2 linked regions of the Oreochromis niloticus genome follow. Each later gene encodes a partner of the first gene's protein in a complex. Links are inferred from orthologs where the notes say so. Each region holds a gene or a part of one and is shown in the gene's direction. Other genes may lie near its edges. The genes, in order: ap1g1 and ap1s1.

Evidence for each region.
Region 2: the proteins of ap1g1 (region 1) and ap1s1 are in contact, whole or in part, in a crystal structure (PDB 1W63), measured with the Mus musculus proteins. The link is inferred for Oreochromis niloticus from reciprocal best matches to the Homo sapiens genes AP1G1 and AP1S1. Residues at the interface, in NP_001288140.1 of Mus musculus: Leu7, Arg8, Ile11, Arg12, Arg15, Leu54, Tyr55, His57, Met58, Gly60, Tyr61, Lys78, Phe79, Thr80, Arg83, Ile84, Leu87, Met90, Leu91, Asp94, Glu95, Thr115, Phe117, Leu123, Cys124, Gly127, Cys128, Tyr152, Lys155, Lys156; in NP_031483.1 of Mus musculus: Met1, Leu14, Arg15, Leu16, Gln17, Lys18, Trp19, Leu21, Ala22, Thr23, Asp25, Arg28, Lys29, Arg42, Lys45, Met46, Cys47, Ser48, Phe49, Glu51, Lys56, Gln74, Asp75, Asn76, Glu77, Leu78, Ile79, Leu81, Glu82, Leu83.

The regions. Positions count from the first base shown.
Region 1 is NC_031965.2:21,842,411-21,859,053, reverse strand, and holds the start of ap1g1 (AP-1 complex subunit gamma-1), read left to right. Parts: upstream 1-8,425; 5' UTR 8,426-8,532; intron 8,533-8,752; coding exon of another isoform or gene 8,753-8,768; exon of another isoform or gene 8,769-8,793; coding exon of another isoform or gene 8,794-8,797; exon of another isoform or gene 8,798-9,060; intron 9,061-16,000; 5' UTR 16,001-16,003; coding exon 16,004-16,204; intron 16,205-16,299; coding exon 16,300-16,424; intron 16,425-16,643. Other genes in the region: znf821 (zinc finger protein 821), read right to left, coding at 6,233-6,272. UniProt on the Homo sapiens protein: Subunit of clathrin-associated adaptor protein complex 1 that plays a role in protein sorting in the late-Golgi/trans-Golgi network (TGN) and/or endosomes.
Region 2 is NC_031967.2:1,992,994-2,010,356, forward strand, and holds the start of ap1s1 (AP-1 complex subunit sigma-1A), read left to right. Parts: upstream 1-8,566; 5' UTR 8,567-8,768; coding exon 8,769-8,771; intron 8,772-10,990; coding exon 10,991-11,169; intron 11,170-16,932; coding exon 16,933-17,041; intron 17,042-17,363. Other genes in the region: serpine1 (plasminogen activator inhibitor 1), read left to right, coding at 2,017-2,254, 2,564-2,788, 2,900-3,094, 3,198-3,396, 3,506-3,606, 4,650-4,736, 5,073-5,156, 5,247-5,290. UniProt on the Homo sapiens protein: Subunit of clathrin-associated adaptor protein complex 1 that plays a role in protein sorting in the late-Golgi/trans-Golgi network (TGN) and/or endosomes.

The DNA.
Region 1 (16,643 bases):
GTGCACTTAAATATTAAAAACCCATGACTGACAGTCACTGGCCTTCAGCCTGACTGCAGCTGTTGTTGGGAGGAGTTAAAAATGCCAACAAGGTGCCAAGGAAGCTAAAGAGGCACCTGAAATCCTGACATACCTTCAGAGAGAAATTGTCTCCACTTCAGCAGATGCTGGATCAGAACCAGAGACAACAAGACTGCCTGTTGGATTGTGTATGACAGAATCTGATAAAAAGAAATCCACAATTTCTCCAAATCAGATTATAGTGGAGTTTAGTGCAGCCTATAGTAAAGCACAATAAGAACTGAAGGCATTTTGCTCAAAAATACCTTCATCTGACTGCACAATCAGAAGAACTGATGATATTCCAAATGGGGCTTCTTTTATAGGTATACCTTGACATTTTGTCCTGCCTTGGGCACAAAAAGAAAACAATTCTGAGCAACTGTCTCTACCCATATATTGTACCCGGCATATGAAAGCTTTATCTCCATAGCAACTTCGTTACAGCATCTGCTTCTGTAGTGTATCACAAGAAGGTATAAATCTTTTAACAGAAGTGGTTTCACCTATAGCTGAAGGTCCATGGTTTGATCATACTTAATAAATGTGGATCACACCATCCAATAAAAATGCAAAAAATCTTGAGATTATTGCAGAAATATAACACGCTAAAGAAAACAAAAACCTATAATCAGAGCAAAACAGATAGAAAGCTGTCCCAGAGAGTAAATGATTGAAACCATTCTACCTTTTTCTACTCTGGGGGTGCGATCAGCTTGAGGAGAACTTCTTAGCAGATTCATCTGGTTTTATATGACCCATACAACAAGGATTGGGATTCATACAAAAGCAGCGAGACAAGCCCAGTTGCATATATGCACGCACATTTACTTCACTTGCATCCCAACCCCCACTTTTTTTACACACATATACACTCACAGATACATGCTAGCTGTTCCGACAGCCATGCTGCAGTCCCACGGGGGTAGCAGCCTGCACTGTTATCCTCCAGCTAACTGCCTAGCTGCTCCATTTCTCTCTCTCTCCTTCAGTACCACCCACACACTGAACAGCCTGGCTCGCCCTCTGTCCTCCCTGCTTATATATGGAGCTCTGACTACTTCTATATCTTTACCATCAGCTCTGAGGGGGAGGATAAAGCTTTGCACCATGACAGCCCATATGTAGCTCATTTCACTTGCCGCGATGCCACACTTTATTGTACACAGCGGCTCTTTTTGGCTGCAGGATGCGATGCAATCCCTTCACTTTTCTTCTTATTACACTGGACTCCGCAAACGTTCATTCAACTGCCAGCACTGCTCCTTTGGATGCAGTCTTGGTGAAAACTCCTCTGGCATTCACACATAGGAACATCACCACTTGAGATAGCGAAAATTAATGATAGCTTAAAATCCAATTTTCTTCCCTTGTGTGCTCCCTCTCCATTTACACAGATCAGAAGATGGGAGAGAGAGATCCTGACTTCAGTTACCTGAGACTGGCAGAAGTAATTACAGCATTCATCACAATCCTGAGGTACTGTGCACGGTGCACAGACACACACTTTCTCTTTTATTGTGTGTGTGCGTGAGCAAGACAGAAGTATAATCTTAAGGCTAGTCATTTGGCTACTTGTGAGAAGTTGGTATGTGAACACAGTTTGGGCACTTTTCCCACAGAAATCCAAGCATTCGTTAGAGTGGGTCCGAGTATTGAACTGTGAACTACTACAACAGGCTGGCTTCTCGGCGCATAGCCAATGATTGATGTGTGAGAGATACCCATCCCCCCAACGCTACGGTTCTGTCTGTACATCTGTCTCTCCTTGCTCCCCCCCGCCGCCACCATCACCACTACCCACCCTCCTCGCTCCCTCAGTCTCTAGCACTGCGATGTTATCTCTGAGTCTGTGTGTCTGTAGGCAGGAGGTGACGCAGTGTCTGACTGAATCCAGACAAAGAGACAAACTCATCAGCCAAGAGACACACACAAGAGGGAGAGGGCTGGTAGGGGGGGGAGGCCGGGGGTGGTAGGGTGACGGAGGGGTAGCGCGCAAAACAAAACAGACAAAAGACAGAATGCCAAAACTCTACTCAAACACAGAGCAATGGGGGTCCTGCTGAATTCAAAGGCCCCTCCTTCTCCTTTTCAGCAGCCATCCCCTCCAAAAACGCACACATGCAGACACACAACACTGTCTGAATCTGCAGGAAGTACTGGGGCCCCCCCGTCTTACGTCCACAGACTTTCAGGAGAACACGGACGGTGGGCCAGACATCTGATCAGTTCTCACCCCGAATAACCACTGACCTAATATTGCAGAAAACGGATGGAGATGGAGTGATTAAACACTTTTCTTAACAAAAAATGTTCACAACTTAGTTTGCTCCTGACTAACACAACAAAAAGTGATCGCTCCATGTTTAGATTAGGATTTTGATTCAGCTACAAGACTAACAAACACCTTGTAGCCACACGAGACTCAAAGCTGGATTCATAACAGCCCCCCCACCCGAGAACTCAATTTCATATTTGGATCAACAATACATATATAATGTGAAATATTCTGAAATAACACCTTATTTGTTATAATTAATACTAATAAAGGTTTTCAGAACTTCTACATTTAGGTACAGAAAAATGATGAAACCAAAGCCTCACATATACCGTTACACAAATATACTGTACTTCCCTGACAGGCATCCACTTGACACCACAAGGGTATGCACCACCACCTCAAAACAAAATACTTCTTGTGTATTGTTGTACATCAAACTTAACAGCTAGACAAACACCGCTGTTGTATCATTGTCTGGAATTCCCTGTGTGTGTGTGTGTGCGTGCGTACTACTGAGTGTGTGCATTTTTGCGTGTGTGAACATGTGCATGTGTGTCAGCCCGCCTGCCTGTCAGACTGTCTCCCTGCCTGTCTGGTCTGTCAGTCTGTCTGGTCTGACCCACTCAAAGGGGACAGCTCTTTGAATGCAATTCATACCTCACAAGAAAAGACAGGTAAAACAAATCATGGTGAGGAAGAATGAAAGTTGGTGTACAAAAGGTGTCCTTCTGCACTCACACTCACACTCTCGTGTCATGGATCTGGGTAAAAATTAAAAAAAAATATATTATACAACAGTCTCGGGGCCTCCTGAGGCCTTTCGCTCACTCTCAAAGGTGTTTCAGAGCAACAAATGAGCTCATTAGCTCACAGGGATGACTGCGGTCTGCAGCAAGTGTGAGATGTATTTCTCCAGCAGTTTGAACAAACTATCTTTAGAAAGGAGGGTTGCAGCATTCTTCAGTAGATTACACTGGGCAATCCCCTTCAGTGGACAAAAACTAGCATAAGATAAGAGGTCAGCAGGCTAAGCACTGACAGGAGCATCCTGGTAGAAGATGAGTCACCAACAAAATATCTACATTAGAGGGTCTCCCAAGAGCTCCTGAGATCTGCTTCAATAAATTTATCTTTGCTTTATAAAAATATGACACTATTTTAAAATAGAATTTGGTCAATAAATGTCAGCAATCCTTACTGTCAGCATGCATTACACTTTAAGCGACCAGTAAGCCCAAGGTCCCTTCTTTAAATGGAAGAAATTTTTATTTAGCTAAAATATCAAACAGATGAGCAGCAAACCATCACAAATAAACAACAGAAACCAGATGTTTGTTTATTCAGATGATTGCTTACCATTAAAAGAAAATCTTAATTAAAATCTTAAATTATTGTTTGGGATGGGAAACTAAGATGTTGAATAGAATTAGAAAGTAAGCATGAAAAGAGCTAGTGTAGCAGAAAAATATTAGATGTATCACTCAATAAAGGAAGGAGAAAGAGGGAAATAACAGAAACACTCTTGCATACAACGCAAGGGAAGTCTTGCTGCTTGTGTGCTCAGTAATGCTCTCCTGCAATCTTGTCCTAAATCTGAGCTGTCAGAGAAAACTGAATCAAGTGCACACATAGCTACTGTTTGTACAAGCTGAAACCTCTGTCCCTTCTGTTCATGGTTTAGTCATAGGTTTTGTTTTGTTTTTTAAAAATGCCTCATACTTTCTTTTAAATGAGCAGATAACTGACAAAAATAACATCTCAAAACTGAACCCAGAAACATGGTTAGCCACAAGCCTTGATAATTAACTGAAAGATTCTTTCACACAACATTTTTAGTGAATATAAGCTTATCGGCCTTAAAGGAGAGATATTTATAAAAAATATTTTTAAGCCTGTAATCAGCACCAACAAGTGATAGCGGCTACTTAAATTATTTTTAAAAATGTACCAGGAGTGTGCTCTTTCACATATTATGTAACAGATTCAGTTATTTATCATTACATGCTGCAATAGTGTAGCTTGCATTATTATAAGCTTGTGTGCCTGTATGTGCGTGAGTACTTTGGTAGGTGTTTGTCTGTCTGTGGGTAGCCTGTTGTTGTGATTTGGCACTGTATAAATAAAATTGAACTAAAGTGAAAGACAGTGCCAACAACAGTACTAATCACAGATACAAAACTTTACAGATGAGATCTAAATGAAGCCGAGTTTGAGATTGTGTGTGGTGCGGCTCCCCGAGTACTGAGTATTTGCGTTAAAGTGTAGTAATGCCTTCTGATCACCAGACGAGGTTTTTCCTGGCTCAAAATTGGCCTTTTGGGGATGATGCCACATACAAGGCAAGAGTATTGGGTATCTTACATATCTTAGTTATTTTTAAACAACTGATAAATGAAAAAGCGAGTCAGGTTAAAGACTAAATTTAACCCTGCATAAAAATGGACTAATAGTTTTATCGCTGTGCGGGTGGTTTTTCTGTGGTGTGGTGAACACTAAAATTATGCTGGAAAAACCTTGCAAGACGGTCACTATTGATTTTCTAGTCTGTTGAGTGCATCTGACCTGAGTTTGCTCTCACTGTATTTATGGCCCATTTTATGCCTGTTTCTTTTGTTTTCACATACCTGTAAATAATAACTGTGGTCAAATTAGACCTAAATCAGTTATTGTTAAAAACAAAAATATTAGGGCTAAGAAAAAAAAAAGAAAAAAAGTGGGACCGCACTAAGATTGGATCAAAGTGGCTGCATCACCCGTCAACACGCTGGCATTAAGTATGCATGGTAGTTATTACTGCATTATTACCAAGCATGATAGAGTAGCTATTATTGGTTTCTACTTGTGATTCTGTGTGCGTCATCATGGTAAAATGCACCATAGAGATACCTCAAACTGAATTTCAAATATGCTGACAGTTGTTTGTATATCTGTCTGTGGGCAAATTTTGCCAGTGCAGTAATGTGACAAAAGCTGTGCGAGGTGCTGACATAAAACTTTACATATGTGTATTCTTCAGCGAAATAACGGTTAAGTCAGAAGATGGGTGTGGTCCAACTCATGAGTCCTGAATACTAGTACTAATGAGTCTAAATGTCAGTATACTGGCATGTGTCACAACTGGTGTGATCCCACTGCAAGATGGTCTCTAGTTATAGGACTACTGAGTACTCATGGGCTGGATCACACAAGTCTACCAGCTTGGCGTCAACTACAAACCTGCCACATTTCATGGCTTTATCTGTTATTTTGGCAAAACCTGTTCCCAGTCATACAAATTTTGGCACGTTCCAAAAAGGTTTTGGCCTTCAATATGAAGAAAAAGTCACCAGGACTGTAATATTTAAAATAAATAAATAAACCCAAACCTCAATGCATGCACAAAAGCACCTGCCAAATTACTCAAAACTAATTCTGTGGTAGTTCCTGCAACAGTAGGTGTCCTGGGACTGCATTTTTAAACGATGATACACATGCATATCTTTGTGGACAATCTTCATAGAGTTAAAATACTCCCTAACCCCTTACCCTCACATTAAACATCACAATTAAAGTGCTAACCCAAACCTACCTCTACCTCAAAAAATAAAAAACTTTTGAACCCCAAACTGCCTTTTATGGGACCCTAAATCGTGGTTCTTTAAAAGCTGTCTGGCAACACAAATATCATTAGTTACAATGTTTATATCCTACAAATATAGATAAAACAAACAAGCAACACACACACACACACACACACGGAGATAGAGAGAGAGAGAAAACTCACAATACTAGCCTCGTAGCTGGTAGTAATTCAGCGTGATCATGTCAACCGACCCAAGTATACACGGATAGCGCAAGTGTCATCAATAAAACTCGTGAAATAGTAAGAGAGACAATACCTGAAATACCTACAGTTAACTTTGAAGGGGTTGGTCTGTTTTCGCCTGGACATATTACTGCCCAAACCGGTAAAAAAAAAACAACTGAAAAAAAAAAAGAGAATATCCTAACCCCGGACGGTCCAAGTATGTTCCGGACAGAGGGAGCAGATGATGAAGAAAATAATAATATTAAAAAATCAAATCGTTTAGATCAGAAACTGGGTCGTTTTCGGAGATTAAAAAAATAAAAAAAAAATCGGGCACATTTAAGAGTCACATTCTTGCGGTCTTTTTTTGTGTGTCTTTTTTAAAAGCCCCTTCTTCAGCCGATTATCGGGTTAAGATGATGTCCAAGCCCGGACAGAGAGACTCCGAGCAGCTCCGAGCTGCTCCGATCCCGATCCGCTGGCACCCGCGCACAACTGCAGCGCAGCACGAGCTCAGCTGATATCTAAACGTAAAAGGAATGAAGCTAACGTCGAACAGCATTGTGGGATGTGTAGGGACGCAGGGGAGTTCAAGTGAAAGATACTATGCTGCATTCAGGTCGTGTGGGAGAAAAAAAAACCCGACCATGTTCAAATATCAATTTAAAGTAAGTAAGTAAATTGCTGTTGGCGGTTTTGACGAAGCAATGATTCCTATTTAACTTTATAAGCTCTGTAAGTACGTAACTATAACCTGACAATGACACCTCAACTAATAACTAATAAATATTCATCCAAGGACCACTCAGCACACCACACCCCCAATAAACACTATCATAAGAACTCACCCGCGCGTCTGAAATCTACCGAAAATAAATAAATAAAACATAAAAACAAACCCATAATCTGTGAGGACCTTAAGGGATTACTGTGTCAAATAATATTCTTAGGTTAAATTATTGTTCTAATCATATTCTTGTATTATGAATATTTTTATTAAATAGAAATGGGAAATTAATGTTCAAGCAATTATTTTGCACTTACACATTTGATAAGTCAGTTACACTTTTGAGTTAATGTTGCCATTAGACAAAGAGTACAAACACAACATACAACAGGAAGCTGCATCCTGTCACAGTGACAAAGTAAACTTTTTTCCTGCTGTATGGCCAAATGAAGAAACTGACAACATACAATATAAGTCTTTTATTTTACACAATGAAATTATGTGAGAGCGGTTGGTCAGATGGATGAAAAAGTATTGTGGCACAGTCAGACCGTCTGGTTTAAATAAAGATTAATGACAGATCTGAGTACATTTCTCAAAAAGTACTGAGGCTAAAAAAAATTGGAAAAGCCAACCTAAATAACTAACACTCATTCATTTTATTCCACTTTCCAATTCTGAGTCGCAGGTAGCCACAGTCCAGGGAGTGTGCTAGGGACCCATAGGAGAATTTTTGCAATAAATACATTCAATTTGACATTTTTAGATAAACAGGGATATATTTTTAAGCTTACCACCGAAGTGTATAGATAACCCTATAGGATAAAAGGTACTTTTATAGGCTAAATAAAATGATCATCCAGTCCTTCACTTTCCTTGACTCCTTATCTAATTTGAGATGGGAAGGGGGGCAGTTGTAGCCTATCTCAGTCATAGAGTCAGGGTATACCATGGACAAGCTGCCAATCTATCGCAGGGCTAACCCATAGAGACAACTATTCACACTCATATTCCCGCTTGCAGCTAATTTAAGATCACCAGTGAATCTAACTCCATGCATGTCTTTGACCTGTGGGAGGAAGTGAAGAGTTTTCAGAGAGAGAACCCCCCATACAGATGTGAAAAGAACATATAAAGTACATCCAGAAAGGCCCAGACTGAATTTGAACCAAGAACCTTCTTGCTGTGAGGTGACAGTGCTAATTCAAATAAATAAATAAAAAATACATGAACATTTACTTTTTAGAATAAACAAATATATTCATAATAAAACTCCAAGGACATGCATCCACTGATTGGACACTGACAAAGCTGAGGGTATTTTTCTGTTGCAAAAGCCTTACAATTTCTGAGCCTCTCGCCCAGTTTGTGATACTTTTGTGCTCCCTCTAGCCATAATAGGAAGAAAAAGTAGTGCTACAATTGATCATGACACTTGTAATTTCATTATAAACGCTCTCTCTAACTGCATATCCTACAGTCAACACTAGATGTCGCTACAAACCGTTGGACTGTCAATGTCATAACATTGCATGTAGTCGTCATCACTGACTGCCACGAGTAAACTGACCGCAGCACCACATTGACCGGGTGAAAATGTACTCTTCCGCACGCTCAAGCGAAAATATGCCATCTCAACAAAATAATCTCGTCAGGTCATGAAATCCCCTTTGTAAGGCAAGTGGCAGATGACACACATTCACACGCAAACAGCACGTCACGTTATGCACAATTATTTAGATATCCAGTCAGTGAGTACAACAGGATAACATCAGCTAGCTGGCTAATGATAACAAGCCTAACGTTAGCCCATTATAGTTACTGTGAGAACGATGGAAGCGAACAAGCCACACAGCAATTAGTAAATGATAAGAAAGGGTTGAGTACAGTCACCTACCTACATCTCCCATCATAATGAAGACATAATTCAACTATTACCCATGTTGTCCAGTGAACATATGAGGCAGGAGTCTCGAGTAAGGGGCACAGACTGTGATTTAGTCCTCCTGTACAGCTAACGTTACTGTACGCTGATGATAAACTTGAGCTCTTCTTTCGCGAACCCCTTGCGATCTGTCAGTGTAACCCTCCGCCTGCGGTAGATGTGCTGAGGCTGGAGTAGCCACCATTTTGCATGTCTAGTGTGTTCCTCCCTCCATTGCTAATAGAGACGATTCCAGTCATTTTCTGGCATCATTACGGCTAGTAAGTACATCCTAGCAACAATATGTCGGCATAAATTTGGGGAAATGGCTTTACGTGTGAGTAGTTGTCCGCGGTTTGACTGTATTTACGTTGACAACTGTCACTGTGGCGCTGCATAGGAAGTCGCAGCCCTTAGTGCACCGGGGCTGTGCTAAGTTAGCTAGCATGTTTAGCATAGTTATAGCCTTGCTGGACTGGGGATGTGTAGCCCAGCAGTATGCTGTGTCCACTAAATCAAAGTCATCAAGGCAACGCGCAGTGACAATTTGGTATTTCCTGTCTTTCTAACTAGCGGGCACAAGTTGCATTTAATTCAGAGAGTATTCGGTTAAGGTAATGAAGAAGCAAGCTAATGGTCAGGTAGCTACGCTAGCTTGATAATCCAAATGCTTCAAGAAGGCCTAAACTGCATTATGTCCTGATCAATCGGCGATCAGAGTCAGATGTAATGGCCTGCCTCTGATTGTATACAGCCGATGATGTAAACTTTAATGTAATACAGCGCCAGCTAAGATGAAGCTACTCCTGTAGTGTCATCATGATATCTTGCCCTTTTAAGATGCTACTGAATTAGCTAGTTGTTAGCTGGCTCTTCAGAGGTGTGATTTGCGTTTTCTAAGTCATATTAAGCATGTGACGCTTGACGGCGTGGTTATTAATACAGTTAGACTTTCCTAATATTTAACAAACTGTAAGCGTTTAATCCATAAGTTAGCGTTTAATTGAAATACCAGGGAAGCTAACGATAGCTAGCTTGGTGTTTTGAGGACGTGGACTTGGGTTTTTGTCCAGTTTCGTGAGATGGTTAATTAGTGTTGACAAGCTGTTAAATGAGAAGGAAAGACTTAGACACGCGCTTTTTTATAACTGCGTTGTCAGCGTCCGAGTTTAATTCATCTTCCAGGATCAGTTTGCATGTAAGTGTTAAGGAAGTCAGGTGCAAGTAGGAAGTGAGCAAATGAGGTGACGTACAGTATGGGTGATTTCTCTACAGTTTTTGACAGGAGCTGTAAATTACGCCTCCACAAGCTTAGGTCGAAGTAAGCTCTTCAGGTCCACTGTTTGTGGCAGCGACACACAAAACCAATCTTGGTAAACTACAAGCCAGGTGTAATGCAACGCCTTTCACGTGCAGTTTACTTTATCTGTACGCTTGATGTGGGCTTTCGAGAGATTCGGGACCAACTGTACTGCTACGGTTGAAGGCCTAATGAAAATGAACCTGTTAAATGTATAATTTTACTTTCCTCACCGTCAAGTCACACGCAGTACTGTAGATTTCAGCCATATTCAATTCCTACTGGCTTCACTTTGTAAAACTAAATATGGAGTATGTTGTCCTGCATTACCTTTTCTATTTACATGTATTGTCTGTTACATGGGATAGATGGGTGAGAGTTAACGATAAAAAAAAGTCATATTTAGTTGTAGCAAAGGAATAGCCAGGATGCATTATTATAGAATGGTGCATAATATTGTGCTTGAAACATGCAGTTATGACCTTAATTAAAAACACTTAACCGTTACCTCTAATGGCAGTGATGCCATGCATAAAATGTACTTGAGTAGGTGCATTATAAGCAGGGTTAGCGTGCATTAATCACACAGCACTGAAGCAACTAAACATGATCACTGTGTCTGCATATCAGTGCCCCACACAATGTGAAATCAGATAGCTCCAGGCTTTGCCTCAGGGCTATTTAAGATCTTTTGATGTATTTCCAGTTTAGGATTCATTTTGACTCCACATTAATGTCATTTGGCCAACCTAAGTCCTGAGTGAGTTAGCACTGCCTCGGTGTCTTGTTTGGACAGAAACTGATCAGTCTTTATGGTTTTACTCTAAGTAAACAGCCACACAAACTTAGTGATAAATAAGGTACTGTAAATGCCATTTGTTATTTTTGTCTCTTTTCCTCCTCCTTTTAGCATTGGGGTCGTTGTACATTTTGCCTCTGATTAGTTTTGAACAGGAAAAGCTTACCAAAGACCCATTCTAAGCAGGGCTAGTTTCCAGCAGGCTTTGTCAATTTGCAGGCTGACAAAGCTAAATTAAGAAGTGCTTAGCTTAACTGACTCCAACTGATGGTGAAGGCACACACGGATCTTTGTATATCTCCTGTGTAACTTCAGAGTCTCTGAATTTAAAGTTGATCTCATTATTGGCTCTTTGATGGCTGTTTTGACCATCAGTCAAAGAAATAAGCAATTTCTCTATTTTCAGTGTTGTTTTCAGCAGGTTAAGAACTTCTAAGTGGTAGAAGAAAGGCGTGGTAGCTGCAAACAGTGAAATGACTATTTGCAGTTGCACATAGATGTAGAAATCACCAGGCTTTTTGATCTCTGCATGTTTGCTAAGAGAGGAAAACAAAATCTGGAAAACCATAAAGGTCTGGAGTGTGTACATGTAAAACACCTGACAGAATATTTTGACTATTACGAGCGCTTCTTCCCCTGTGCACAAGTACAGTACTCAACATTTGAATGTGTACATAGGAACCAGGGTGTAAATGTAATCCATGTCAAAGCTGATACTCATGTTTGAACTTTAGTGTTGTGTAGTATTATCAGTTATTTGTAGCTCTGTAAAGCCGAGGACCAGCCGAGTTGGTTATAAAAGAAGCAGTAGAATAGTCTGTGTTGGTATGATTTAATTTAGAACGTCTTGATGTCTAGCTGAATGGTTAGAGGAAGAAAAAAAAACAAAACCTTATGCAGTCTGCCAAAGTTTGCCAGTCACAGCTCTGTATATGGTTCTTTTGGGAGCTGTCTGACCTTTTTGTCTACTTTAAATGTGCAGCTCTTTAAAAAAAAAGGGAAAAAAGACAGCATAAATGGATGTTACATCATGCTTTCTATTTCTATCCATACCATGCTTGTGGCATTTAGGAATATGATGTAGAGCCACAAACAAACTAAAAAAAATTAAGTGGTGCTTTGTGTCTCGATATCTTTAGACTGATGTCTCAGAGTCGACAGGGTGACTGCTCCCTGTGGTAAATGGGAAGTGTTACGTGCTTTTTAACCTGTTGCTGGTTGTCAGACTCTTTGAAAACAGATTTGGGTTAGCTCTTCTATGAACGTTTCACAGTGTATGCAAAACATGTCAGCAGATGCATGCGATAACTCATAGTGTTAGGCTTTTATATGGTCTGGGGAGTGTAAAAATGTCCAAAGCAATCTGGATGCAGTATAACAGGTGTTCTTCTTGTATATAAATATTATCACGGTTTATCCTAGCTCGAAATGGGCCTTTGAGGGGTTGTTGCCTTACAAAATAGAAGTTGCTCCATTTTCTTGTTATTTCTGGTTATTTGTTAAAGGAGAAAACAAAGTATGTGTTTAGTAAATTAAGCCTCCCGAAACTCATTTAAGGCCAAAAACCTTTGATAAGAACAGAAACAATTTTACAAAATTTGGTCTTTGTAGTGAGGAACAATAAAGTGAACTAAAAGCTGTTGCTCGACAAGTGTTGAACAACCTCGCTTCCCCACTGCAGTTTCACATTCATCTGTGGATGAAAAGGCAAACTACACTGTTCATCTGAAGGCAATGTCAGTAATTTGCAATTAAAATTGATATTGTTTTGTTTGTAGAAGAATGTGCTGCTGTTTTGCAACTGCAAGAATGTGAAACTGTAATTTAATCAGCTCTCAGCAGTGGCTGGATTTACGTTCTTTAATGTGTACACATTTGATTATGAGCACAGCAAGAGTCGGGGAGCCATGATTAATGGAGCCCAACACTGGGTCCATTCAGTGCAGGTAATTTAAACGGTGTTAAGATGAACAGTAAGTCTCTGGCTTTATTAAAGTGTGGCCTTGCCTGACCACCCTCCCCATTCCTCTTTGATCAAAGTGAATTCTTAGATTGTCCACAAGCCACCACCTTACTCAGCAAAGGATGTCCTCATTCCTCCTGTGTGTGTATCCTTATTTCCTTCAGACTGGCATAATTTCAGAGGATTTCCTTTGATCCCACAAGTGTTGGAGTTAATAATGAAATGTTAAGGAGTTTTTTCCCCCTCTTTATTCATTCAGATGAAAAAAATCTAGCTTGCACTGAATACTGGCCAATGTAATCAGGTATATTGAAGACAGATGTAAAGTTTGTATTTGGTTACATAAAAGCTTGTTCTAAACGGCCAGAGATTGTACATTTCTTGTTACACTGACAACATAAGATTTCCATAAGACATGACAGAGCTGTTGTGGATAAATCAGAGGCTTGTATTTCATTATGTGTTTGTGTAATGATTTAATAGAGCCACACGGTTGATCTGTTTTTCTTGTTTCATACAGTGTCACTTATGGTTCATTAAGATGTTTGAGGAGGAAAAAAGTCAAAAACTCAAAAGCAAATACTTGTCATGACAGCAGTAATCGCCTCTGAGGGATAAATTCTCTCTAGACTACAAAATGAATAAAAAATACGTTGTGTCAATATTTTATAAAACTTCTTTTTTCCTACTGGTATGAGATTGTTTATGAAACAAAATTATAATCATTTTTGTATTGTGAATGTTATTAAAATCCTTGTGTTTATCAAGATCGGCTATTTCCAAAAGTCAAGAGTGCTGTGGCCCACTTAAAAACCAGCCAATCTCAAATCTTCAAAAACAAGCGAAAGGCTGTTGGCTGTAAATTGGTAATGCTAACCAGTCATATGCAGGCCAATGTGTGACAAACCTACCACTTGGACACAAACTTAAGTGCAACTTAAATTAATTCACTTACTTGTACTGCAGTCCACCTGCAGTACCTTCACAGCCTAGCAGCGGTCCCTGGCCCACACTTTGGGAATCGCTGATCTAGACGATAAAACCAAGGAAAGCCTGTGACTTCTAACCATCTTTTTACTGTATCCTACTCGGTTAAGGTTGTAGAGATTATTTTATAAAGCACTAATTGATGCAGTCCCACATTTAGAGGACTGACAGGCTCATTAAACTTGCTGTTCTCACCTTCTGCAACAGCGGTGCACGCCAAAAGTGACGTCACATCTGCTGGCGCGAACCGTGCTTTTGTGTTTTGGCCGGTCATGCACTTCTGTTTCTGTAGCTTCAGTGTTGAAAACACGAATTTACGATCATGTGGGTTTTTTTGTTTGTTTGTTTTTAACCAGCAGTATAATATTGTATCAGTAAAGAAGTTCGTTTACAGATTATACAGAGGGAAATGTTGTATCAGTTTGAATGAGGCTTTCAAAGAGAGTGTGAGGAAAAGGAGTCTGTCTTGAAAAAACTTTGGAGCAAAAAAAAAAGGAAAAACTTAAAGATGTCTTTTTTTCCCGATTTTGACAACTTCTCCTCCTGTACCAGTGCTGATGTGAAGGTTATGTCTGAAAAAGAGGAGTGGTGCCTCAGTGCATGCCTCTGGCAACACGTATTGTATGTGGAATATTGCATCAAGTACTCACGCCCTCAGTGCTGGTGTAAATGGTATGGAACTGTGGCGAAGTCACTGTTTGTGTGCAACACAACCAATACAGTGATTATTATGGGTCCCTGAGATTGTTCCTGAAAAATGTTGTGGATCTGCTATGCCATCAGCTCTTTGCTCTGGTTCATATGTCAGAGTGCATTATGTTCCCACTTCAGCACTGCATAGCTGGAGTTGGATAGAGTTATGGCTTTGCTCATCAAGTAATTACCATCATTTCTGTTGCAGTAGAAGCTTAATTATGTCCTGCATCCTACCAGATGAAAGCTTTCCATTAGATGGGAGATAAAATGTACCTATTTCTCAGTAAAACACCACAATTAATAACTTTCCAGTTTATTTGACAGTTAAAATGTGTTGTTACAAATGTGTGGTCATTGTAAAATTACCTGAATAAACCAAGTTAAAAACTTAAAAAATTTAATGTTCTCTAAAATGTTATTGTGTTAAATTAAACTAGCCTGAGCATATTTTCCAAGCCTCCCGTCTGCTCCAACAACCTGACATTTGCTGGGCTGCATATTAAATAAATTGAACTGACTTTGCTCTCAGTCTCTGTGCTGTAGTAATCATTAAACCCCGGTCATTTAAGATAATTTACTCACTGGTACAGACCAGAATAGCTCTCTCCTAACATGTTAAAAAAATCTCCGACCCTGCCAACAAAACAGTGTTCTGTGCTTGTATAAAATGAAAGTATACTTGATAAAGTATGGATAATATCCTGGTGAGTTTCCTCTGGAGGATGGCAAAACCTTCCCCGAGGTTTGTTGCATTGGCTCACAGCTTTCTTGTAATATTCATATTAATGTTAGATTTGCCTCATTGAAGAGTTCATTTAACATGCAGTTTGCAATTCATGTTTTCATCTTTGTAGCTCTTGGATCTGTTTTTGTAAAGTGTAGTTTCGGGTAATTGGTAGATGCAAACACATAAAAGTTGATTTTCAAGCAAGCATGTGCCTTCATAAATATTTAAACATCTTTCTGTAGCTTGTGTTTGCTTAGAAGCTTCTTTGTGCAAGGCTTAAATTTCACCATTTCTTCTTTGCCTTTGCACTTTTATTTTTTTTTTAAAAGATCTAAACGAATGAGACACAGTTTCCACCTAAAGTCAAATCTTACACAACATGATTTTAAAAAAAAAAGTCTGTTTTACTGGAAAACTGACACATACTTTTTATTCCTAAAAACATAAAAATCCTTTTGTTATTCTTATCCCAAGTAAAATTTATGATTGTAGTTTCAGCGAACATTTTAGGAAGTGAAGTCTAGACTGTTGATCGGTACCTGTAAAACCTACATTTCTGCATACATGCACAGCAGCTAAAACCCTTTCTTGGTTTCTAGCATACGTTGTCATATTTTAGGTAAAAAAGTGACATACCATGCTGCAGACTGGAGAGTTCTATATTTGTCTTAAATTTCAGAATTGTAGCTTTTCTGTGTTAGTGTAGTCTGTTCTGATGCCAACTGGTTTCCTTTCTTTGTGTTTTCCAGAGAATGCCAGCTCCGATCAGACTGCGGGAGCTGATCCGGACTATCCGGACAGCACGGACCCAGGCAGAGGAGCGTGAGATGATCCAGAAAGAGTGTGCTGCTATCCGCTCGTCCTTTAGAGAGGAAGACAATACGTACCGTTGCAGAAATGTCGCAAAGTTGCTTTATATGCACATGTTGGGCTACCCAGCGCACTTTGGACAGGTATGTTTGGTTATGCTGGGAGGGCAGTATGTATACAAAGGAGTTTTAAGTTTGCACCTCTGAATAGTTTGATGACGCGTTTTTTTTCCTTTTAGTTGGAGTGTCTGAAGCTGATTGCATCCCAGAAGTTCACTGACAAACGAATAGGTTATTTGGGAGCTATGCTGCTTTTGGACGAGAGGCAGGATGTCCATCTCCTAATGACAAATTGCATTAAGAAGTAAGTGGAGGCTACACTGGGTTAAGATGCGCACACACACTTAAATTAAAAAAAAAAAAAATGCCGTCTTAATCCAGTACTTAAAATATGAGCTTATGGTCCTCTGAATACAGTTGCAAAACCTTCTTCATCTACTTCTTAGACTTCTTCATAGTCTTCATAAGATTGTGAAGTATTCATATGCTCCTCTCTGGTATAGCATATAAAGTGATTCTTTGT
Region 2 (17,363 bases), on another chromosome or scaffold:
ATAAATAGCAGTGCTCGTTCACAGACAGCGCTGAAAGTGGAGTCCAAGGTTTTCCTTTTAATCGATCTCATTTCTTTCTGATGTTCTAAGAGGCTGTTGTATCCATTTGTATTTATTTATTTTATACTTATTTTGTATTTTTGGTGATTCTTATGTTTCTGTTACTCTGGATAATCCACAGATTGTTTTGGTCCTACCTTTTAGGAAAATGGTTGACACTGTATTCTAATGATTAAGAGGTGCAGTTTGGTAGTTTCTGTGTTTCCTGGGTATCTGCAGTGTTTTAACATCTTCTAGTCCTTTTTGTTTCTTTGTTTCTTAGTGATGGATATTTAAACACTCCACAACAAAATCAGGTCCAGGAAGCTGTTTGGTTTTGCTTTTTTCTATATAACAAGTGGCTTCAATTACATTTTGTTAGCCTGCCACAAGCTTCAGTAGAAAGACTCGGAAAAAGTGTGTAAAATGCAAATCTCTGTCTACCAGATGCTTGGTGAGTAGTGGGATAAGGAATGTTAAAAGCTGTGACCAAATTTGGAATTCTGATGCATGACCACCCAAAGTGAGAGCACATGAGCATGTATACCACTCACTGCAGCACTGGATTATATATGTTTTTAACCTGTGACAGGTTAAAAGAAGTCAAAAATATTCTTCCAAAGAAAAACAAACAACAGATAGCACATTTACTTCCACGCCATATTTCCTGTAGAAAAATGCAGAGCATTCGAGTGTGCAGCACTTGCCTGTCAGCAAGCAATTTTTATTACATTCAGACATTCTAAAAAAAATCAGTGATTGAGAAACATTACTGTGCATTCACCTCTGACTAACTGCTCTAGCATGAGCAGGAAGAACAGACTAATGTGTGTGTGTGTGTGTGTGTGTGTGTGTGTGTGTGTGTGTGTGTCCGTGTGGGGAAAGAGTTAAGCGACTTTCCATATCCTCAATGATAAATTGGAAAAAGAGACAGGGAAAAAAGTGAGAGGGAGGGTGAGTGGACATGTGTGTTCATGAAAAGGAAGTCTGTCCAGACAGTGTCAGATGACATCATCGTCTCCAACACTGTGTGTTTATGTGTGTGCAAAGGACGGGGCAGTCTTTTAGTATAAATAGATGAAGCGCTGTCAGTATTTCAAACTCAGGGAGCAGCAGAGAAGATCCAACCTGAACAAACAGGGCTCTGATATACTACACTGGACACATCCCAGCTACAAGGTAAGGACCTGAACTTGACAGTTCAGACTTTAGCTTATACATACAGCCACACACAGCATTACAAGGAATTACAAGGGACATTGTTATTTAGTACAATAAAGTGTAATTTAGCCTCTTAAGTAGTTTTCAGTTGATCCTGTACGCATCCATAAATTACACCGTCAATCACACGTGCACAGCTGTTTTTAATATAGATGTCTATTATGTTGACTTACATTCAGTTCCTAAGGACAAACTGACTCTGTTATAAATCCTATCCTGAATTATTATTATTAAGTTTATTATTATTAAATCTCATTATCCTGAGTCAGTGTTTGACTGAAGCCCAGTTAGAAGACTGAAATCTACACTAGGAGTGGACTAATATATTCATTTTCTTTTACATCTACCAGTTTAACATGTTTTCTTTCGGTTTTTATTTATTTTCATACTCTTGAGCCTTTCTGTATGCAAGTTTTTACAGTCATTATTTTAAGACATCATTTTATGGCCACCTTTTGACAGCTCCTTAAACTTTCTCTGTACCATTGTGTAATCCAGTGCAGTTTCTTACTAAGAATTGGAAAGGATCTGCTGACACGAGGTTCAGCGGTTAAACAAAAATCCACTCCTCTTTAAATGGATACAAAATCTGTTTCTTAAGAATGTATCAGTTTTAGTGATGTAGTGTACAATCACTGCGAGAAAAGCTGTTTGAGTAGAAAGGTTATACTTGCAGTTGTCAGATACAGAGGTATCTGCTGCATATTGAATCACCACTATTCATATTTGATGAAACTGTATTTTTTCTTTTCCAGAATGCTTTGCGTATATATTTTCCTGGTGCTGGCTCTGAGCAGAGTAGGACTGAGTTCTCTGCAGGATAAGCAGACTGATTTTGGGCTGAAGGTCTTCTACCAGTTGGCCCAGGGGTCTACAGACAAGAATGTGGTCTTGTCCCCATATGGTGTGGCCTCTGTTCTGGCCATGGCTCAGCTTGGTGCAAACGGAAACACCAGCAAGGCCTTAACTACAGCTATGGGTTTTTCTCTGCGAGGTGAGTGACATATAGATCCAGACAACAAAGTGGGACTGAAGCAACAGGAACAGGTTACAGGAAATAATGAGATTACATCCATAAAGTTTTTAGCATCAGGACAACAATATGGCATTATTTACTGTTTACACATACTGTAACATTTCCAATAGGAAGTTTGTAACTAAGTTAAAGAAAGATAAAAAAAACAGTAGAGGGAGCAGTTTTTATCTTTCTGCAAGTGAGGTGACTAGTTTTGTGAATTTGGTAGATTAGAGCATGTCAAGACCATAACCTTGAAAAAAAGCCTCCTATGGTTTACTCCCGCAGAGCGAGGGATGCTTCGGCAGCAGTGGCTTCTGCAGCAGGGCCTGTCCACTGAGGAGGGGGTAGAAATAGCCAACGGGGTGATGGTGGAGAGGAAGATGAATCTGGAGAAGAGATATCACCGGAACTTGGCCAAGGCCTTCAAGACCCACCCTCACCAGGTGGACTTCACAAAGCCAGACCAAGCCATCAGCGTTATCAATGCATGGGTCTCAGATCACACTGCAGGTATATTCAGATAGCAGACTCAAACCCCTCTGAAACCTCCATCAGCTTTGATTTAAGCGGACATCTATCTTTGCATCCATCTTTGAAATTGTTTGGTCATCTGTTCTGCAGGTCTTATCCCTGAATTCTTGCAATCTGGATCTCTGACTGATCAGACCCGCCTCGTCCTCCTTAATGCGCTCCACTTCCAGGGCCTCTGGAAAATTCCCTTTGACCCAAAACTGACACAGGAGAGGATGTTCCACTGTGCCAATGGCAGCACTGTGCCAGTCCACATGATGAGAATCACCAACCGCTTCAACTATGGTGGGCCACGTCGTTGCACTTGTTTATCAAACGGTTCCACAGATGACTAAAGTCTCTATCTGTATTTACTTATTAAGGCCTTTCTTTTCCCCTCAATTAACAGGAGAGTTTGTAACTGCTGATGGAGTGGATTACGATGTGATTGAGGTCCCATATGAGGGAGACTTACTGAGCATGCTCTTGGTGTCTCCCTTTGAGCCTGAAGTTCCTCTGAGCAAGCTCAGTGCAGACCTGAGCAGCCAGAAGATCCGACAGTGGAGGACAGAGCTGAGGAATGTCAAGAGGCAGCTGGCCTTGCCTAGGTAAGAGAGAGCTGGTCAGAGTGTATCTTTGGAGCTAACAATAAATTATATTGTTTCATATTGATTATTACAAGAAAACACAAGAAACTGAAAGACTGGTATTTTGAAGGTTTACTCTGGACTCTGAGGTGAATTTGAAGACTGCGCTAGTCAACATGGGACTAGGAGACATCTTCAACCCAGCTTCTGCAGACTTCACACGCATCACCTGTAAGTCAACCTTTTTGTTAAATGTTCATCTCTCCGGGGTAGCTGTAGTTCCCGAGGTGCAGCAGGTCATCTACCAATCAGAAAGTTGGTGGTTTGATCCCTAGCTACCCCAGTCTGTATGCCAAATATCCTCAGGCAAGATACTAACCGCAAGTTGCTCTCCGATGCATCCACTGGAGTATAATTAAGTGTGAATGTTAGCTAGAAAGCACTTAAGCATATGAATTGTGTAAATGAGACAAGTAAAGCACTGTGAGTGCTCAGGTAGATAGAACAGTGCTATATAAGAACCAGTCCATTTACTGTTTGCACTGACTGACATATCCTGGTCAGCAATGACTCCAAGATTCCTTACAAACTTGGAGTCATGAGTGTACTGTGTTGTTACATGAACAAATTGGAGTGTGTTACAGATACAATTCAAACAACTGAACTGTTTAACACCAGTGGTGTTTTAATGAGGTCCACTGTCAGAGTCTGTGAGAAGATAGCTCATGACCGTCACTAAAGCTGTTTTTGTGCTATGATGCACTCTTAATCCTGACTAAAGCTTTTTAAATAAACCAGTCTTTCAGAGATGATCACTCAGTATTTTTTTATAACTGCTCTTTCAAGATATATATACATATATCTTGAAAGAGCAGTTATAAAAAAAAAACTGAGTGATCATCTCTGAAAGACTGGTTCATATATATATATACATATATATATATATATATATATATATATATATATATATATACATATATATACATATATATATATATATATATATATATATATATATATACATATGAAGAAATAAAATCCTTTTAAAGTAATGGTTTAATTAAAACCACCTTAAAAGCCTGTGGTCACCTGTCAATAAAGACGGTCCATATTTCAAATTGAAGCATTTTAAGCCTTAATGACGGATTATAAATAAGCAGATAAAAAAAATGAAGGTTTTAAAAAAAACTACATAATGAAAACAAACAAACATATTTTTATCTAATTTTTTATTCTTAATTTATTCATTTGTTTTTTTGTGTTTTTCCCTCTAGTGGATCAAAGGCTGTGTGTGTCAAAGGTCCTGCAAAAACTGAAAATTGAGGTGAATGAAGAGGGAACCAAAGGAGCAGCATCAACAGGTACCCTCATTTTTCAGTTCTATATATATTTATTTGTGGCACAGGCGATACAATTGATTTTTTTTTTTTTTAAATTTTGTCTAAGTATTAAACATAATATGATGTAAGCTAAAAGGGGATATTGAAAATAGGCAACATAAGCAGAGGTCTTATTGATTTATAGATGCAGAGAAAATATTTTAATCATATTTTGTGATTAATCAAATTGTAACAAATACTTTTCAACAAAAAAATGTATCAGGAGAACTATTTGAAGATAATGTAAGGGGTCCAAATGGGGTCCCCACATAAACCCAACACTGACCTTTCCCCCCCTTTCTGTTTCATTGTTCTTAGCTGCTGTCATGTTTTCTCGTATGGCAGTAGAGGAGATCGTTCTAGACCGACCTTTCCTTTTCCTTATCCAGCACAAACTCACAGGTAACCTTTCACTAGAATACAATTTTACAATACCAGACTGCTGATCATCCAGGTAGGGTGGCTCTCTAATGTTCTCCCTTTTATGTTTAGGTGCTGTTCTTTTCATGGGTCACTTCAACCAGCCTCAACAGTAACCCACTCTGAGCCCACTCTCTGCGTGAGACTACTAAAATTCCACATAATGGCCATCGAATGGATGACATATCTGACATATACTACTTAAATCAGATGACATATTTGAAACTGCAAACTAAATCACTGGAAAGTTTATTTAGAACAGTATTGAAAGAGATTTTGTTTAAAAAAATATTTCTTTATAGATTATTTATTTCTCTGAATGTTTCTGGCTGATAAAACATAATGCGATATAAAGGAAAGTGAACATATGAGGTATTTCACCTGTTTCTGATACAAAAGATAGTGATTTAATTGAAAGGGAGGGACGCTGATGCATTAGTATTTATAAAGAGTTATATTTTAATATTACTATTTTATATTACTGTTAAAAAATTATATTTCATATTTTTTGGTTGTTTTGTTCTTACATTTTTATTTCTGTCACTATGCTTATATTTATTAAACTACTATATTTTTTACAATGTTGCAGTCTTTGAACAGTTCTTTGAAAGGTTAACACTGACTTTTTCTGCTTTCCCCCTGATTCAAGCATCAAAAGGCATCTAACAAATCAGTATTGTGTCTACACATAACAGACATGTTATGTTCCCATTTCTTTAGTTAAACCTGCCAAACATAAGTTTGGCATGAAACAGCATTTTTGTACCATTAAGGTGCAAAATAGGTATTAGCTGAAAACTTGAAATACCAAGCATGGTGTGCAGTGACTGAGGAAACTAGACAAGTGGAAGACAAAAGCATGTCTAAAAAAAAATCTGTATCTATCTACAGTAGATAAACAGTATCTGAAAGCAAGATATAGGGGTGGGGTGGGGTCCCGACACTGATTCACCAAAGCAAAGAAAACCTGTCAGGAAGCCATTCTTAAGAAGGGGAAACATTACACAAGAACTGGAGTGAAAATGAGGCAAGAGGTCTTCATTTTTCAGCATCATATGATCCCAAACACACCGCCAATGCAGTAAAAAGCATAGATAAACACCCAGTGGAACACACTGAGAGCCTGCACTTCAACATTATTGAATCTGTGTGGGATTATCTTGACACAGAACAGGCAAAAAACAGCCAAAGCAGAGCTTCAACAGGTCTTTTGAGAAATTTAGAGATTATTCCTGAAGAGCAATTAAAGAAATCACAAATCTTGCCTAAGAGAGTTCAAACTGTGTTGAAGAATAAAAGTGGTGACACCATGTATTAACTTCCATGTATACATATATATATATATATATATATATATATATATATATATATATATATATATATATATATGTAATCTCAACGGAAATGAAGATTTTCAACCTACAGAGGGCCGAATTCAAAGGCTCCAAAAAGTGTTCATTCTGCTCCTACTGTGACAAAGGAGCGGTTCTGTTAAAATCTCCTTCATGCTTTGAGAGTGTGCTGGGAGACACACCCAAACCTTCTGTCAATGATACATATTAATGTACCAGGCATCTGTGAAAACAGAATTTATGAAGTTTAACGGAGTTAGATGTTAGCAGGAAGTTAGCTCGCTAGTTTCCACCTAAACATGATATATCATGTTCTGACTGAGAGATTTCTGAAAAAATTAAAACACAGTTATGGTTAGCATGATATAAACATATTATCACAGTGAAGCTGGAGGATAAAACTTTTTTCCACTCGATAAAAGTTAACGTGAGGGTTCCCGATGGTTAGGGACAAATGCAATCGCATGGCAGGATGCTGTAAACGGACCAAACTTCAGGGATAGGGCAGAGATAGCTCAGTAGGTAGAGTGATTGCCCCATGATCGGAAGGTTGGGGGTTTGAATCCACTGAACGGCTACCCTGAGGTACTCCTGAGCAAGGTACGGTCCCTACACACTGCTCCCTGGGTGCTGCATTGGTGGCTGCCCACTGCTTCACTGGGTGAATGGGTTAAATGCAGTGTATGTGTTGGTCCCTACACACACATTATACAAGGTCAGGGTGTATACTGCTGCATGGGCTGGGCTGTAGTTACATCATAAGGTTTTAAAAACTGAGCTTTAAAATGAACAGTGGTAATAAAAACTGAGAGAGGCTGAAAGTGATCACTGACATTTTAGGGGCTCGTTCAGAATAAATAGAACAAAACAGAAAAAATTAAAACTTTAAATTAAAGTTTTAAAAAAAACTTTAAAACTAAAAACACAACAGCCTTATTAAACACAGAGTAGTTTGAACCCAGTTTGGTTCATCTCGTCATCACTTAAAGACTGGATAATTAAACTTAGTGTGTAAAGAGGACTCTCTCCATTTACATGAAAGAAAAAACAGAGTCTATCAGACAGATATCATTCAAACCCCTACAGTGCCGTACTTTAATACCTATGGCATGCTCTAATCTCTGTAATAAAATACTGTGGTCAGTATTAACGATGGACTGAGGTCTAGCAGGACAAGCACAGAGATGAGTCCACTGTCAGAGGCCATAAGAAGACCATTTGTAACCTTCACTAAAGCTGTTTCTGTGCTGGGATGAGCTCTGAAACCTGACTGAAACTCTTTAAATAGACCATTCCTCTGCAGATGATCTGTCAGCTGTTTGACAACTGAGAGATTGGTCAATAATTACCTAAGACAGCTGGATCAAGTGACTGCTTTTTAAGTAATAGTTTAATTATTGCCACCTTAATTGCACATAGCCTATTAATAGAGATAGATGATCATATTCAAGATTAAAGCATTTACTAATTGTAATAGTTTGAGCAGTTGGTAAGAATGGGTAATGGGGTCTAATGGACACGTTGATGACCTGGAGGAAGCCATTACTAAAGTTATTTCAGACAGATATAAATAAATATAAATGACATTTAAAGTAGCTTAAAATAATAGTATGTCTATGGTTGTGAGTATTTGTTCTTCAATAGATAAAATTTCATTTTTAAAAAAAATTAATGAAGTTAAAGTTAAAGGAATGCTTGACTCAGCAGAGCTCTGACAGTGCTGAAGAGAAACCTGGGATTTTTCGGTGTTTAATGAATGATGACGATGAAAAATCCTACCGATTTTCTTTTTTTTTTTTTTCTTCTTTTTTTGAGCAGATTTTTTTTTCCAGGCAACATGGAGATCTTCTAAATTGGTGACATGGCATTTCCCCTCTAACTTACGGGTTATCCGCTTTAAGGTCCGTACTTGAAAGCTATACCAGGGAGTCAGTATCCGCAGTCATACACAGTGAGGATGTAACACTAAAGTCGATACACTGTAAAATCATTCGAACCCTCCGGAAGTGAGACGAAATCATAAACGTCATGTTAGACGTGCCGGAGTGCGCATGCTCCTCGGATGTGGAAGCGCTTTGGCAGAAACAACGATCGTGGAAGGGTTTCCGCTTTTTGCAAGCGCAGTAGTTGAGCACCTCACACGGGAATGAACTTTCGGCATTAGTTCGGGTGTAGGTCTGAGTGGGCAACGAGGGAGTAGAGTCCGTTTGTAACGAGACACAAACGTTAAAACCCCCACAGAATGGTAAGTTATTACGTCTCACTTGCAGGGAAAAGTGTATGTGGAGGGTATGCTACGCTAATGCTATCAAGGTGTATGATTCCAGGAAGTCACCACCTGCGCTAACTACACCTGGCTTCTGTCAGCATAGCCTTGCAAGCTAACAGGCCAGCATAACCTGTGAAACTTCATCTTTCTTACGCTGTATATAGCTCTCGTGCAGCTTGTGGTCTGTGTGATGTTAGTCAAACTTTAGCATGACAGACACGGGACAAACTAGTGTGACTGCCCTCGTTGCAGGTAATTCGTTTATCTTTAGGTTTTAGTTATCGTCAGCAACGAAGGTGATGGCGTGCTTGTTACTTTCTGCCAGCCTACATAAAGTAATGAAATAGGCTTCATTATGTGGCTAACTTTGTGCTTAACCTCAGCTCAATTGTTTTTGGAACTCTGTATGGCCAAAACCTTGAGCCAGATGACTGGTGATCTTAATATTACCTGCTACAGTGACATCTGTTACTGGCTAGACTGATGAAACAATAACATTCATCTTTTATGAAACCATACCTCCCACAGTCATGCCTGCCAAATAGACTGTAGACTGGTAGCAGGCAGATGGAAGTAAACATAATAAGTGATATGCTGGATTAGTATTGCCATGTCTGCAAAGTTTTAAAATACCTGTAATACACATTACAGCATAAGTTTATATCTGTGGTTTCATTATGTGATTGAAGTGTTTGCTTTAAGTGCTTTAAATGCAATACATGACGTTTATGTCTGGAGGTAATATCAAACCAAAATATTATAGACATTTGATGTCACTTCCTCCCTTTTCTTTGCCAGTATGGCGTGGGAAAACAGCATAGGATGATGAGATGAAACACTCGCCATATACAACAGGAGTGTAAATTTGCCATGGCCATTATGTTATTATAGACTTTCAAAAAGAATATATAAAGATTGTCGTCCTAGTGCAGGTCTTTAGTGACCAAATTCATTATTAATTTTGCTTTTAGTCCTAATTCAGTCTTCCCAGCACCTGAAAAAGGTAACTGACTCTTCAACTTCTGAGTGCTCCACTTTGTTCACCTACTACTTTTGAACTGGCAGTTTGTGTTTTTTCAGTAGTGTACTCGGGATGTATCAGAGAGAAATTGCATTAATCAACTGAGGGATTTGGAGGGCATGGGATAAGTGAACTGGAATTTAAATAGCCTATTATAGAAAGCCCTGAAGTTGTTTTTATTTCTTTGTTTGGTTTGACTGGTTCATTTTAACATTATATCGTTTAAAAAGGCTAGATTATAATGCTGGCTTAACTCCCTACTTGTTCCATTGTGACACTCCCTTGGACCAAGTAGATATGGGATAACAATCAGACACCAAGTGGAGATTAGAAAGGTTTTTTTTTTATTGTCATTTGAGAAAACAATTTGGCATGCTCTTCTCTTTTTTGCAGTATATGTCTACTGAAATGTTTACCACAAGTTAAAGTCTCACAAAATGTCATAGACTTGATTTTTGAATGCAGCACATCTCAGTCCAAGCATCTATTGTGCTGGATTTCAAACATGGTGCGCTGCTTTGTTATTTGAGCAGACACGAGCTGCCGTGTGCTCTAAAAGATGTGCACTGTTGACATGGTTTAATTTTCTAAAAACTCAGTGTACACTGTGGTTTATGGGTCACCAAGGATTTGATTCTCTTGGGCTGACTAAGATTTCACTGTGTATTAAACTTTGAACCAGAACTTTTTCTAAGCAAGTAATCCAGACCACATGGCAAGATGTTGATAACTAACCAAATTATCTGTTTTTGGTGTCTTCTTCCTACCATATAATGGCATCTGCCTCTATTAATAGGAGGGCCCTCCTGTTTATCCTCTTTGTCATGATGTTGGAACACTTGGGCAGGCGCACTGATTATTTTATTGGAGCTGAAATAATTTTGACCATATTTAACTCTTAATGACGTCCCAGTATTTCTTTGCTTTTGGGAATTGAAAGAGCATTTGATCACAGAAATGATTAATGATGTCAGACTTGATAATAATGTTTACAAAAAGAGCAAAGTATAAAAAACTGTGATGAAGTGACTCATAATTGGTCACAAGAATGCAGTTAACAGGAAAAGTTCCTGTACTGGACCAATAATTGTAATTGTCACATTTATGTATTGACATATACTTACACATTGAATACATGTTCTCATAAATGCTGTACTGTCTTTTTTGCATGTAGATGCGCTTCATGCTGCTGTTCAGCCGGCAGGGCAAGCTGCGACTGCAGAAGTGGTACACAGCCACAGCTGAGCGTGACAAGAAGAAGATGGTCAGGGAGCTGATGCAGATAGTGTTGGCCCGCAAACCAAAGATGTGCAGTTTTCTAGAATGGCGCGACCTCAAGATTGTCTATAAAAGGTAAAAGTGCCATGGGCAGTCCTGCATTTTGTACTCATCACAGCATCACCTGCTTCTTGTGGTACTTTCTTTACACTATTTTCATCTTTTCTCATTTTAATGTTACTGACAGTTGCTTCTAGTGTACATATTTACAGTTTCATTTTCTTTCATGCTATGAACTGCTGTTGATTTTTCACTAATTATCAAGAAACTGTAAAGAAATGCACTAGTGCCTTTATCCCAGTGCCAGGTTCTCAGGTTCATTTACTTGTGATACATTTAGGCAGTAGCCTTTATTGTTTAGAAATTTTAAAAAGGAATGTTAGTAACGCAGTATTAAACATGTAAAAAAGATGAGATGTGGCAGTGCTTTGTCTCCAAGAAAGAAACCGTGGGAAGGAAAATTACATATTTGTACGTATTTGAGTATTTCATCAAAATTAATGTCTGTCGGAAAGAGAAGCTGCTTTCGTATAGATGGGGACGATAGGCCCACGTCCACCACAGTGGTAGATGGTCTTTCACTGCCAGCCCAGCCCCCACTGGTGGAACAAGTAGATGAACTAACAATCTGCATTGGCAAATTGGGTGAACTACTGTCCTTGAGCTCTAACTACAGAGCTCCAGTGATCAGTGGAGGAATATGGGTGGCCCCGATGACCAGGGCCATGGGCTGGATTTGCATTGCCTTAACTGCCAGGAGCTCTTACCATCAGGGCACGTTGCTACAAATCTGGCCTGCTTCCCTTGACTTCCCCGGTTGGAGAACACCTCTTAAGGACTTAAACCAGCTATGCCTAAGGAAAACAACTTAATTTAGAAGATGCAGTAGGTCTTTCTGTTGAATGTTACATTATTAGATTCTTATGAGTCATTTGAAATTTGAAGAAGCCCCACACATTGCATACTCCTATAGTGACACAGTGGCCTCTCCTACTTCCCACTATGGCCAGCCACGTCAGCTGGCTTTGCCACACCCAGCAGAGTTAATGGCTGAGTCCACAGTGTTGACACAACAAGCTTTAGAACATTTGCTTTTCTGCGTCAGAGCTTTGGAAGGCATACTATATCAATTGGAGAAAAAGGCCCACATCGAACTGCAGTCACATGGTTCAAGACTTATTGCTAGACTCCCTCATGACATGCATGCCAGTTCCAGAGGAAATTCATCTACTGAAGATAAAAAAAATCTCTGTTAAATCTCAAACCAGCCTGCAAAGGGCTGGTTTGAGATTTAACAGACCAGACAAGTTCAGCTGCGGTGAAGGGAAGGAAATTACACCAAAGAAGCATTGTCCCTGAGACTTTGTTGCATGAAACAACAACCATCTTATGTGGTACAGAACCACCCTTGACCATCACTAAAGAAACCATCCCCTCTACAAGTATAGTCTAACACTAGACTAAATCAGTGGTGCCAAACATAAGGCCCGGGGTCCAGAATCAATCCAGCAAAAACACCAATTCAGCCCACTGGAAGTCTTTGGAACGTGATGGATTTTTGAACTTTTGACTGTATTTTTTTTTTTTTTTTTTTTTTTTAATAATAATAATTTCTAACAGTTTTTTCTGTTGATAAAGACTTCCTCTACAGCCATTCATGCTACACCAAAGTAATGCATAAACATTTAATTGACAGGAACTTTCCTGTTTTTCACTATCTACTATGGAAATTTTCATTCCCAAAAATAAACAAAACATTTTTCATCAATCAAAAAAACAAAACCATTTCGTAAATACAGGACAGTCTGGGCAGTGAACTACCAGAACTTTTTCTGTAATGTTGTCATGTAGAAAAAGTAAGATGTGCTGTTGAAATTTAAATTTGTAGCTGAATGTCTTTACACTGACAAAGTATGCCAGCATGGACAGATTGAATTCTTGCTTCCCTACACAACAAGGGCCAAAGATCTGGTACAACAACTGTGGAATAAACACAGACAACATGATGACCATGGAATACATGATAAATGAAATTCCCATCTATTGATCATTTCCTCATCCAGATATCGTCTGGGCTCCTGAATACAAAGTTGAAGGTTGCCCGTAAGAACTGCAACAGCTTCTGCTCTTACTGAAGCTCCGTTTACGGTGAAGGAGCTTATATTGTCTCTACTGTCGTTTGTGTTATGGTCGGGCTACTGTTTTGGTCCGACCATAACACAACAGAGTTCCAGAAAGATGTTATTCCTTTTGAGAACTCTCACATCAGAAGAAATGATATATTAGTCACTCAGATAACTTAAAAATGTTATTGTTTGGCTTTTTTCAGTGTTTTATTTGTTCCTGAGTAAATCGGTTTGGCTGAGGTTAAAGTGAAAGTTTTTTACAATATACATCAAACATAACACTGAATAACAGAAGTGTGAGATGGTAGAGAATTTACGCCAATGTCATATTATATTTTAGATAGCAAGGAGCAGACGGCTGAGTTTAGTAAACTCCACCGAGACAGCTGGTGACGCAAATCTGAAGGCTAGACTGTCCAATTTCACAAACGCTCACTTCCGGCTTTCTCGGTCTTTGGAGGACCCGGCCCACATAGACCGCAAAGGCCGGATCCTCCGAAGGATGGAGCCCCTCAATCGAGACACAGCTTCAGAGTGCTGAAAAACTAGTTCACACATTTATCACTTGTAGGCTGGACTATTGCGGACTATGGGAATTTTCGTTTCGGTCTCTACTCTCGGTTCCGTTATGGGCAGACCAATAAGCTGCTGGGAGGTTCCCTCGATGTACGGAGTGTTTCTTCTTTGCTCCTTTTCATCTTGTCTCTATATACCACTATGCATTTAATCACTAGTTATTTTTAGCCTCTGGCTCTTTCCACAACTTGTCTTTTGCCTGCTCTTCCTTCCCTCACCCCCAGTCAGTTGTGGTAAATGGCTCCCCCTCCCTGAACCTGGTTCTGCTGGATGTTTCTTTCTGTTCAAAGGGAGTTTCTCCTTGAGGCAACTGTTGCTGTGATTTGGTGCTAAAAGTTTTTTTTTTTATAATTGGCATGAGAAAAGTCTGTACCAATGGCAATTTTGCTTGATGTTTAGTAATATAAATGGAATAAAATAAGTGGAAATAATTCCTTGCACATAATGCTTGATCAGGTCTTTATCTGCTCAAGGATAATTGAGTGTGCGTGGGAGTTTGCCCACCCAGTCTACATGTGTTTTGTGGACTTGGAAAAGGCATTCGATTATGTCCCTTGGGGGGTATCATGTTGGAGGCTGCTGCTGAAGTATAGGATGTTGCTGTCTAACTGCAGCAAGAGCTTTGTCTGTACTGCAGGCACTAAGTTGGACTCACAGGGGTTGATGGGCTTCGCCAAGGCTGCATTTTGTCGTTGATGCCGTTTAGATTTTTTTTTTATGGACAGAATTTATAGTCGTAGCAGAAGGGCTCCATCTTTGCTCAAAAAGCAGAGAAAAAACTCTGCTTTTTGTGGATGATACAGGCCTTCATCATGGAGTGGTCTCTTAGATCACTGGGGTGCCTCACAGCAGAGTGGTAAGTGGCAGGTATGACAGTTATCACCTCCAAATCTGAAGCCTTGGTTCTCAGCTGGAAAAGGTCATAGTGCCCATTAGGGCTGGGACGAGTTGCTGACTGAGTTAAAGTAGGTGTTGTTCATGAGTAAGGGAAGTGGGAGATTTGAGCTGCAGCTGCATTGATGGTGATGCTTAGGGCTGTTCGATATAACGATATATATCGGATGACGATATAAAAACGTCTGTCGTTTCATTTTACGCTATCGTTTGTTTCGTGGTGTTGCAAAATAAACTGTTTATGGCAATATTTTTTGATTATTTTGATGGTCACTGTAGTGGCTATATTAATTTCCTAAAGTTCTCTCTTTCTCTTATATTTAATATAACCACATTACAGACGGACAAGCGCTTGTTTTTATGCGTTGTCGTTAGCAACAACGACGGTAAAACCACGGCGTGTCCGCTTGTTTATTTTCCACATAAACCTTTCACAATAAAGCTCAAGATCCTGTTGAGACTTTTCAAAATAAACTGAATCACGAGAAAGATGCAGAGTATTTACAGATGAGAAGCAAAAAAGAGCCGTCAGGTGTTAAAAAATAAACCTTAGACTCAAACGTTAGAACAGGCTTTTCCCCGCAGCACGCTGTGTAATAAATACTCACAAAGAAAACGGCGGCCGTTACAACCTATGTCTAAAAATGTATTGTTTCATGCATCAGTTAAAAGACTCGACTCCAGGTACGCGATGCCCAGCTGGAAACACTTCACGCAAGTCAAGCTGCCCAAGATTCACAGAATTTAGAGAAAATGTTACATTTTTGTGATTTATATCGTTATCGGACGATAGATGTCTTAATATCGGGATATGAGATTTTGGTCATATCGCACAGCCCTACTGATGCTGGATACAAGCAACAGAAATTGGCTTCTCAGAAGAGTGGCTAGCCTTGCCTTTACAGATCAGGTGAAGAGTACAGTCATTTTGAGAGCCACCACCCCCACCCCACATCAAAAGGAGGCAGTTGAGTTGGTTCAGGCATCTGACTAGGATCCTTAGGAGGTGGTCATTGACCCACTATTAATCATGTGTTATCACATGAGCCAAGGTGTGGTAGAAAATTTGAATTTATCACACCATGAGACCTGTTGATTTTTCTCTCCAGTTCTTGTGTAATTTGGCGTACCTCAGCCTTTTCTCACTGTTTCCCTCCCTTAGATTGGCTTCATGAGTGGTTTTAGCTCAGCAGCAGACCACACTGGGTGCCATTCCTTTGTACGGGCTCACCAAAATAGGGAAGAAGAAGATCGTGTGGTCTGTTGAACTTCAGTTTCTTATCTGACGTTTGGATGAGAGGGTCAGAATTTGGCATAAATAGTATGTAAGCATGGGGCTATCCTGCATTCTATGAATTGTTCAGGCAGGTGTTGAATGGGCTTCTTAGTACCAGTTGAGCATCATTTAGAAAATATATCTTACCCAAGTATTTTTTTCTGACCCCATCCAACCCTTATGCTCACAGTGTGCCCATCCTGCGATGATGGCTCCCCCAGTCACCGGTCACCTGGTTTCTTGAACATGACAATGAGTTCACTGTACTCTCATCGTCCCCACTGTCACCAGATTTTAATTCAATAGAACGCCTTTGGGATATTGATATAATATTGAGATATTGATGTGTTAATAACCAAAACTCAAGCACAAATTGGATGTTACAACACAACTTGGCAAACAATGCACTTAAAACAGAAAGCAGAATTAAGGATTTAATAATTTTGCCCACTTACCGTGGGCAAATGACAAAATCAGGCAAGTCAACAAGGTCAGGGGGGATGAGTGACTGATTAAAACACAGATGCTACTTCATAGGCCAGCACCCAAACACAGGTTATTGGACTGAAAGAACTCTGCATGCTTGCTCTGTGCTGTCTGGCAGCCCTACAAAGGTCTGGTAAACTGTCATTGTCCGACTGTACGCTGTACAATTTTTTTTTTTTGTTTTTGTTCTTCTTTTTTCTTTTTTTAAAAATCTGTGACGAATTTTGAGGCAGAAAGTCTTAAATGGATCTCACAGCAGGCAGTCTGCGGCCTCGTTGGTTTGTCTGTTAACCTGAGAACGAGGCGACATTGGGTTTTCAAATTGATACCATAGGTGAATCTTTGAGTTTCAATCTCAGTGACCTTAGCATAAAGGTCAGAGGTTAAGTTTTCTGTAAATCCTAGTGAAGGCGATAACTTGAGAACAAGGCAATGTAGGATTTTAAAATTGTTTCTGCTTTTGTGTATATTGTCTTGCAGGTATGCCAGCCTTTATTTCTGTTGTGCCATTGAAGAGCAAGACAATGAGCTGATCACACTCGAAGTTATACACCGTTTCGTAGAGTTGCTGGATAAATATTTTGGCAGTGTAAGTGATATGTGCATCTTAATGTGATTTTCCTGATTTGCATGTGAACTATTTTGAAGGAAGAAAATAGTTGATGGCGTATGAACCCTGCTTCTGGGTCCAAACGTGTTTTTGGCACATTTTAATGCTTTGCATCTTGTTCTGTTTAATCTGAACAAGCCACTAAAAATAGTCCGTGATCACTGTCGACCTGTCTGGGTTTTTATTACTACTATTCATCTGCAACACTTTTTGAAGCTCAGTTTTAAAACCTTACCATGTAACTACAGCCCAGCTGCTCAGACACCAAAAATTTGAATGAGTCAGAAAATAATCACTCTGA